2 linked regions of the Coturnix japonica genome follow. The protein of the gene in region 1 interacts with the protein of each later gene in a pairwise test. Links are inferred from orthologs where the notes say so. Each region holds a gene or a part of one and is shown in the gene's direction. Other genes may lie near its edges.

The links.
Region 2: the proteins of POGZ (region 1) and CREB1 interact in a two-hybrid assay, tested with the Homo sapiens proteins (2 studies listed by BioGRID and IntAct). The link is inferred for Coturnix japonica from reciprocal best matches to the Homo sapiens genes POGZ and CREB1.

The regions. Positions count from the first base shown.
Region 1 is NC_029540.1:2,345,795-2,350,341, forward strand, and holds the start of POGZ (pogo transposable element with ZNF domain), read left to right. Parts: upstream 1-1,695; 5' UTR 1,696-1,871; intron 1,872-4,547. UniProt on the Homo sapiens protein: Plays a role in mitotic cell cycle progression and is involved in kinetochore assembly and mitotic sister chromatid cohesion.
Region 2 is NC_029522.1:10,661,461-10,666,180, reverse strand, and holds the start of CREB1 (cyclic AMP-responsive element-binding protein 1), read left to right. Parts: upstream 1-1,733; 5' UTR 1,734-1,952; intron 1,953-4,720.

The DNA.
Region 1 (4,547 bases):
TCCCCCCAGCAAAAAGTGTGCTGTGTAAATGAGGGAGAATGAAGGGGAACTTGGGAAGGCCATCAGAAGGAAATTAATGTGCTTGTTTAACGAAGTGAGGCGTCGTAAATCACGTTGTAGCATCATCGCACCACAGGGGTCCATTTGGGAAGCACACGACTCACCAACATCATGCTTTGAGAATGAAGGAAACGACATTTCAAAGGATGCAGGAGATGCAAATGTTCTTGGATTTGAAGTGCACACTTGTGTGTGTCTTAAAAACGACGTTGGTTGGTTGGAATTGGGTGATCTTCATGGTCCCCTCCAATTTATTCTACGATTCTATGCAAAATATGCTGGCAGTCGATAAAAACAAGCATTATCAGTTTTCACTGTATTATCTTCAGTATTCAGCCTGTACCATATGCAGCCAAAAGCTGTGTGGCCCATCACGACAGAATTATTCACAGTAAGAAGTTTATTATTAAAGACATGAATCATTTGAAATTATCCGTGGGGGAAATGTAAGGAGAATCCCAGGGAGATCTGTTGGCACGACAGTGCAGGGCACTCGGGTGGCACTGATCCAGACACATAGTGAGGAAATGCACAACTGTAAAGTGTTTCTGTGGTTGCTTTGGTTATGTTTGGGATGCTTACAGACATGATGTTGGGTTCAGGCTGCAGGGCACACTGCTCAACCCAGGTGGTGGAATCACTGACCTGGAGGTGCTCAAGAGGAGGGTGGATGTGGGACTGAGGGATGTAGGCAGTGGGCATGGTGGGGTGGGGGTGGGTTGGACTTGGTGATCTTAGAGGTCTTTCCAACCCCAGCGATCCTATGGGGACAGATCCTGAAGGCATTCTCTTACTGCATCTACCTCAGCAGTTGTGTTTAGGAACCTGTGGAGATGCTGATGGCCATTCACTCCAAAGCATTCACCTTGAAGCTGTCCCTCAGAAGTGACACTGGTGTCCACTTTTGACATTAATTATGAGTTTCACATTAGGGAGATGAACCGATTTGCCTCTTTGTTCACCAATAAGGTCTCCCACATCTCCTCCATCACCACACTTACCTCCTGGTCACCTGGAGACACCAGAACCGCATCATTGGCTGCAATGTGGATCTCAAGCCCTGCGCAATGTTCCTTCTAATGGACGAGGGGTTTCAGCAGCTCTTCTCAATGTCTCCTTAAAACCTAAAGGTTAAAAGTGGAGGCCTGGCTCAGAACAGCACTGCCAAGCACCAAAATGGAGCTGTCTGCTGGTGGTGAGAACCCCATACAACTCAGTAACCGCAATGGTGGCATTGGGTGCTCAACACACACCAACCCAAAGCCAGGAACTGTATTATATAGTTATAAATATATATAATAAGGTTAGAAAAGGCTCCTATGATCACCATATCCAGCCCCTACCCAACCAGGGCCCTCAAAACTCTATCTCCACTACTTCTCCACACGGAGATGTGGAACCTGCGGACAGCGGGGATGGGATGATGGGCTGGGGATGGAGATGGGGTTGGAGATGAGGAGGAGGCCATAAGGACCCCATAGATAAGCGCAGCCCACACACCCCCCCCCCCTTATCTCGCCCCACTCCACCGCCCCTGAGGAGGCGTTGGCGGAAGCCCCGCCCTCCGCGTGACGTCATCGAGACGCCCACCAATCCTTGCAGAGCATCTCGGCCCCGGCAGGAAGTGACGTCACCGTCTCCCTCCGCCGCCCGGTCCCCTTTTTGTGTGTGTGTGTGGAGTGCGGCGGCGCCGCGTGTATCCCCCCGCCGCGGCTCCTCCTCCTCCTCCCGCCCCCCCCGGCCCTCCGCCCGCCGCCCGATGCCACCTGCGCTGCGCTCCCGGGGCTGAGGGACCGCGCGGAGCGGGGAAGGTGAGAGCCGGGCGGAGGGTGGGAGGAGGAGGAGGAGGAGGCCGCGGTCCGTTATGTGCCGTGGGCGGAGGGATCGGGGGGGGGGAGTTGGAGGTTTGAACCGCTCTCACACCTGGGATGTGGGAGGATTGGGAGGGATTGAGGGCGCGTACAGCACAAAGCGCGAGGATAATGGGGGGGCGGGGGAGGAGCTCCGGGCGAGGGATCCTCTCACACCCCCCGCGATCGCGGGATGCGGATCCTACACTCCCCGGCCCGTCCCCCCCCACCCCAGAGCTCCGTCCCCCCCCCCAACATTGGTGGGCGGCCATGTTGGGCACCGGGCTTATTTCTGCTGCCTTTCTCCCAGGCACGACGCGCTCAGCCCGGAGCGGGGCCGCGTTCTGTGCCGACAGGCCCTTCCTTAGGCCCCGTGCCCCCCTGCGGCCTGCAGCCTCTCCCCGGCCCCTCAGCGCTGTGGGGCGCTCCGTGGTGATGGAGGGGGGTCGTGGCCCGTCAGTCTTCGCACCGACCCCGTGGAAGGGCGCTGAGCGCAGGGCGGTGCTGAGCGCTGCTTTGTGTCCGTGGCTGTTGGTGACACGGAGCCGTGGGCCGGTGGGTGAGCAGCCCCCGCGCTGTGCCCGTGGTGGTGGAGCTCGGGGCTTTGGGTGCAGCACTGCGGGGCTGCGGGCGGGGGATCAGAACGGCCCTTCCAGCCCAACCCAACTATCAAGTGGTAGTTTCCAGCCCACCCTGTTCGTTCAGGGGTCTGGAAGTTCCCATCCAACCCAACCCATTTGCAGTCCAATCCATTTGCTATGGGAATCCTTTCTGCCTTGAGCTGTTTGCTAAGGGATCCTTTCCAGTCTGTTCACAAAGTGATTGCTTCCAACACAACCCAACTCGTTCACCAAACAATCCTTCCCAGCCCTGTGCTGTCTGCTAATTGATCCCTTCCAACTCAATCTAACCAGTAGGTGATCCAACCCAACCCATTCGTTATGAGATCCCTTCCAACCTGAGCTATTGGCTTAGGGCTCCCCTTCAACCCAACCCATTCCATGTCTGTATGGTCCCACACTTCTCCTGACTGCACCTGCTGAATCCAGGTGTTGAGCTGTCTGCTTGCTGTTGAGCTGCTTGCACTGTTTTTACCCCCACTTGCACTGTTTTTACCCCCACCACGCTGTGGTGCTGCCCTTCAGTCCCATAGAAGCCCAGTGGCTGCAATGGGACACCCCAGCTCTGTGTCCCCTGCTCCACTCCATGCTGTGCACAGGGTTGCACTGCCCTGCAGGAAACTCATGCCACAGGACAACATGCATGGTGTTAGTTTTATTAGCTTGGCTGTGCTGGGGGTGGAGGATGGGGGGATCTGTTGCTTCTTTTAGGAAACGGTTTGTGAAGAAATAGAAGTTCAGCATCTTCCCTGTGCTGGGTCTTGCTGTGCGCTGATGGTTTGAGGTTGCTGCAGATGGGAAGTTGGATCCTGGAGTGCCATACCTGGCTATAATTGTATCTGCAGTTGTGTTGTGCCTAAGAAGAGAAGTGAAGCCGTCCCACAGCTCTGAGCTCTGTCTGGGCCGGGGGGTTCTGCACGTGTTGCTCACAGATGGCAGCGTGTTGTGGATATATATGGCTGTGTTGTTTGTGTGCACGATCCCACAGCTGCTTGGAGTCTGTCAAAAGACCAACGACTGTCTTTGCTCTGACAGACCTGCCCCACGCTCCGTGCCATTGGCAGGAATGGAGCTGCAGGCAGCTTGTGGGCTCCAGAAGCAGCTTCAGGGTAGTCTCATGTTGATGAAATACACCCCAAGTATTCAGCAGAGCTGCAGAGACAGAGCAGAAAGCGGTTTGTTTTCATCACTCAGCACTTCCAACTTGAAGGTAGATAATAATCATTAAAATTGAGTGTAATAATAGATTTTAATTAGTAGGCATGGCACACATCAAAGCCTTTAATAAAATACAGAGGGCTTTAAATGATGGCATTCAGAGCAAATTTAATACGGCTGTGGAAGAACCTGGGTACCCAGCAGAGCGCATCAGTCAGTGCAGAGTGAATTCACCTCCGTGTGAGGGATGTGGCTGCTGAGCCTCCACCTGCTCCCTTCTTTCAGAGGTGTTGCTCATGATGAATGGCCAAATAAACACTAATGAAAACATCATCCAACATTTTCATCACTGAGATTATATCAGCTCGAAGCCGTGCCAGTTATTCATTAAGAGCCACTGAAGAACATTATCTTTTCTTTAGGGAAGGGATTGTGGCGTGTCTTGACAGCAGGAACCTTTATCACAGGATTCATTTGCATTTAATGTAACCTCTTAAAAAGTTAAGGTACGTTCCTTGCCATGAATACACATTATTAAGAGTGAGTGAGAAAAGTAACCAGACAGGAGTTGTGTTGAGCCTGCGTGTCTACCAAGGTTGGACAAAATGGGAGAGCAGCGGGCACTCACAAGTTGGTTTATGTATTAATTTCTATCTTGGAGCGTGTTGAGTCATCTCCAGCTCGTCTGTAGGTCTCTTAGGAACGGATCCTTGATTTTAGATCTTAGATTTTCTTCTCCGGACTCTCAGCATGGAGGTTGTTTTACAGCAAGTGGTGAGGAAAAATGAAGGGTCAATTAATTCTTAATATGTATTTTTCGCACTGATATTTGTCCTCGGGGAGCTGGGGGAAAAGGATT
Region 2 (4,720 bases), on another chromosome or scaffold:
TGAATCGGCGTGAGTCAGGGCTGAAGCCAGCTCCAGTCCACATATGGTCTTAGCCTCAGCCATGGGCAAGAGATGAAAATACCACAGAAACATAACATTGGCACAATCTCAAATGACTCCAGGCATGTGACCTACCCGAGGCATCTGTTTTAGTTTGAGATAAACTGCACTCGAGCTATCTGTGCAATGAGGAGTCTATGCTGGCTGGCAAAGGAGCAGCCACTGCTGCAAGATGCCCTTTGCAGCTGAGCTGGTGGACATTGAGAAGTGCTGCTGAAAGCCCCAAGTGAGTGCAGGGTTGGGAATGGCCAGTGGGACTGCCAGAGGATCATCCAGACCTTAAATGGGCAGCAGGATCAGAGCTGTGCAAGGAGCTGCCCGCCTGTGTATATAGCTCAGGGCCCAGCTATAACCCAGTCCTATCAGCAGCACTGCTGCTGCTCTGGCTTAGCGTGCAGCTGGGGCTTCTTGTAGGAGACACTGTCTGAGGCCTGGTCCGTGCCTTTTGGTTGCTTTTCAAAGGCTGGAATTTATTGTTGAAGGTTTTCTGCTGTGATCCTTCAAGGTTGCTGCCCCACAGTGAGAAAGGCAGGTCTGGGAAACTGGCATGTGTAGAGAACATCCACCAGGGAGCAAAGAAAGATGATGTAGCACCAAGATCAACACGAGGAGGGAAGAGGATTGGGAAAAGAGATAAAGAAATGCAGTAATTGAAAGGAGACACTCAGAGCACTGAGTCTGTTCCGCTCATCGTAGGCGTTTTCTCACATAGGTTCTCACAGCCTTGAAGCTCCTCACCTGCAGACAGGACAAAGGGGACAAGTGCAACGGGAGTGGAAAATGAGATGTGGCCCAGGCTGTATTATGGGGTTATTAGCAACGTGCTGTCAGTTTAACCTGACCTCCCTTTTTAAAATAAGTCAATTCTGGCTTATTTCATTTTCATTTAGAATAACTATAATCAACAGAAACAGAGTAACCTGCAATCGTTCCCTGCACCGCCTTTTAATTTGGGATGGATTTACACGACACGGTCCAACTGAAACCCATTTATTTGGCTTTCCTGAGGACACGAGGCTGCTCAGGAGCCCGGTGCTGCTGATGGGCAGAGCCGGCACGCACCGTGCTGTCTGCTGGGGATGTACCAGGCACAGAGCTCCAAACCTTGTTGTGCAGTGCCATCTTGAGGTTTCGAGAGATAAAAGCGCTTTATACGAGACTGCGCTGTGTTTTTATCGTGCAGAAGGAGCAGGTGAAGTTGGCTCTCCTTGCTGCGGGACAAGGTGCGCCCTGTGGGCCCGACAGGACGGTGCTGGAGATGCCCCGGGGCGGCACCGGCTCCTGTTGGAGCCTCCCGTGGCAGCGTGCTGCCCGTTCCGTGCCCGCAGGAGCCGTGTGACTCGGCCCGTCCCTGGTGCAGCCCGGTGCAGACGCCGCCCGGCCGATGCTGCCGTCTCTCCGCTTTGCGCCTTCCCTGCCCGGCGCCTGCCCCGCTCTGCCCCGCTCTGCCCGGCTCTGCCCCCGGTCTATTGGCGGCCAACGCCACCCGCCCCGCGGGCCGCCTGGGGCGGAAGCGCGGTTCGCGCCTTCCCGCGGCCGCTCGGCTCTTTCCGCCACCCCTCCGGGCCGCTTCGTTCGTTTCCGCGCCCGCTCGGCTCTTTCCGAGGAGGCCGGCGGCGCGCTCGGCCGTTCCCGCCGCCCGCCGCGCGTTCGGCGGTTTCCGTGAGCGCTCGGCGGTTTCCGTGCGGGCCGCGTTGCGCTCGGCGCTTGCTCCCTGGCTGGCGCTCCTCAGTCGGCCGCTGCCTGCCTGTCGCCGGGCTGGGAGCGCCTGTGTGTGTGTGAGTGACGCGGCGGAGGTGTAGTTTGACGCGGTGTGTTACGTGGGGGAGAGAATAAAACTGCGGCGAGATCCCAGGCGCGAACGAAAGCAGTGACGGAGCAGCCCGCAACCGGTAAGAGGAGGACGGCGCCCAGCGAACAGGGGCGGGGGGGAGGGAAGGAAACGGAGCCCGGCGGGGACCGGGGCGGCCGGCGGGCGGCGGGACGCGGGGAGCCCGGCCTCGCACCGCCCGCGGGAGGGGCGCCCGCCTTAAAGATGGAGCCGAGCCCCGCACCGTCCCCGCCGCCGCCGCGCCGCGAACAAAGGATAATGGCGGATCGGAGCCGGCCCCGGCGGCGGCCGCTCGGCCGGGCCACTCCGGCGGCAGCCAGCGGCGGCGCTCGGCGCGGCGGGGAGGGCCCCGGCCCCGCGGCGGGAGGACGAGGACGGGGGGCGCGGATCGGCCGCTCGCCCGTGCTGCGGGACGCCCCTCCGCCGCCGCCGGGCGCTGGCGGCGCTGCCCCGCTCTTCCTCCCCCGGCCGGGCCGGGGCCCCGCTCCCTTAAGCCGCCGGCCGACAGCCGCGTCCCGCGGGGCGCCGGCGCGGCCCGAGCCCGGCCCGCCCGCAGGAGGCCCCGCGCCGGCACCCGACGCCTCCGAGCGGAGCCGGGCGCTCCGGCGGTATTTTTAACCCGCGGCGAACCCGATTCCGGCCGAGGCGGTCGGTCTCCGCTCGGAGCCGCCGGTGCCGGCGCCCCGCGGCTCCGGGTGCCGCACGACCGGCGGGATCCGACCTCTGTCCGTACCTTAATGGCAAATGTCAACGACGGCGCCTTCCCACGCCACGCCGGCTCAACCGCCGCCGGTGCCGCAGCTGCGGGCCGTTCCCGCCTCGTTCCCTAGGACAGAGGACTCGATTCCCGCTTCCAAACCTGGATAACCGCATCTCTGTGCACGGCAATAAGTCCAAGTGACGTGGCAAGCGGATCTTATTAAAAATGTTTTTCAACCGAAGGTTATTACGCCTCCCAGTCATACACAAGGAGATACATATATTTTATTTTTGCAGACCATATGGCTTTTAATTCCAGATTTTTATTTTTTAATTCTCCCTTTTAAGCATTGCAATGCTTCTGGAGTAACACTGTTGTGAAAAGCAGCTCTTCCTGGGGTTAGAAACAATTTTCCTGTTTCTTAAATAAAGGACTAGAAACTGACCTAGGGTCATTAAGCAACTGCAGATCCACCGTGAGCACCAAGCACTCCTTAGAAATTCAGCACCTGTACTCGGTCCCTTCCCCACCACCAGCAAAGATGTTTGCTTTGGTTTTTTAAAGCAAAATTTAAGTCACCAAAACAGGTTTTTGGTCAAGACGGATATTAGTGATTCACAGAAGCACATGGACAGCCTGTCCTTCCTTCTGTGCAAATCAATGTGTTCTGTCACTTCCACCACTGTCAACATAAACGCCAAGGGTGTTCCACATCTCTTCCCACTCTATAATAGAGGGTTCCTAAAGCCATAACTGAACAATGCGCATCTGTGGGTGTTGGCGGGCAGTGGAGCAATTGGTGGTGATTAAATGATTTGTAGTGGCTGGTGTATTTCATTAATTCTTGGTTTGCTGGAATACGCACTTCATTTTAAATACAACAATGTGACAGTAAATCCTTGCGTAGTACTTTCTGTAGCTTCAGAAACACAGCACTTTGTCCCCTAAACATGCTGTTTCATAACAGCAGAGGACTCTCAGATCCACGTTTTCTAACCCATACACTGCACCCACACGAGCTCTATATCCTCACAGGTCAGGTTGGGAAGAGCAGCAGACAGGAGGTTGTGTTTGCTACGTATCACTGTCAGGTGACTCAGGGTCAGATATTTAAGTGCAGGAAAGAAGAACATAATAATGTTTAATATTTCATTGATAGAGTATAAATGTTAAAACTATTTCTCCCACCTTTATATCTGGATCTCCTGTGTTATATCTGGATCTCCCATGAGCTGTCTGCATCTGATTCTCCCCCATGGCTTTGGTGATGAGGTGCCTGCTGCCCTGGGTGCAAGGGATGATCTGACAGGGAAGAATGATCTGTTGATAGAGAAAATTTAGAAGCATCTAATTTAGGTTGTCAAGTCATCAGTCTACCCCTTCTATGGGAGCGTGAGCTGGTGCAGCTACTGCTGGTCCTGAGACCCAATATACAATATTCTGGAAAGTAGCAGTCGGGCTGTGCTCAGAGGTGAGCACTTCTTACCCATGTGCAGGCTTTGATAGTAGATGAGGCCCTGATGGGGAATTTCTATTGACACCCTAGTGCAACAAATAGGATATTCACACCTCGCCTCTATTTTTGGATCTCTTAGCAAGTGGAGATGGGTTACTCATGCCATGCTTCTAAAGGCTTTGCTGCAGTGAGAAGGCCTTGCCAGCTTTCTGCTCATCATCAGTTTCATTAAAAAGACAGTGTGAGAATAATATAAGGATGGTGGTTGTAAGGTAGAAATAATACAAAGATGGTAATAATACAAGAGGGATAGTGACAGATATCCAAAAGGTTATCTATAGGAAAAACTCACCAATACAGATGCCTTCAGTCTGGCTGGAAAATAGGCTGGTTATCCAATCTCCACAGGGGAGCAATCTCCAAGAGATGCTGCCTTAGTGGTGGTCAGCCCTTAAATGAGGTCTAGGAGAGGTGGAATCAATCTCCACCCCTTCGGGGAGCACAACTGAATTACCTTCACCTGTGTTCCCACAGCTGACCTGACACTTGCCTCAGCTGGTTAATCAGAGGTTCAGGCTGTGATGACCAGTTTCCCACACAGACAGTAACCCTCAGCAAGAGAAACAGCCCTGCTGAGTTGGGCTGGAGCTCTCTGCTTCCTTGCCTGCTTGCA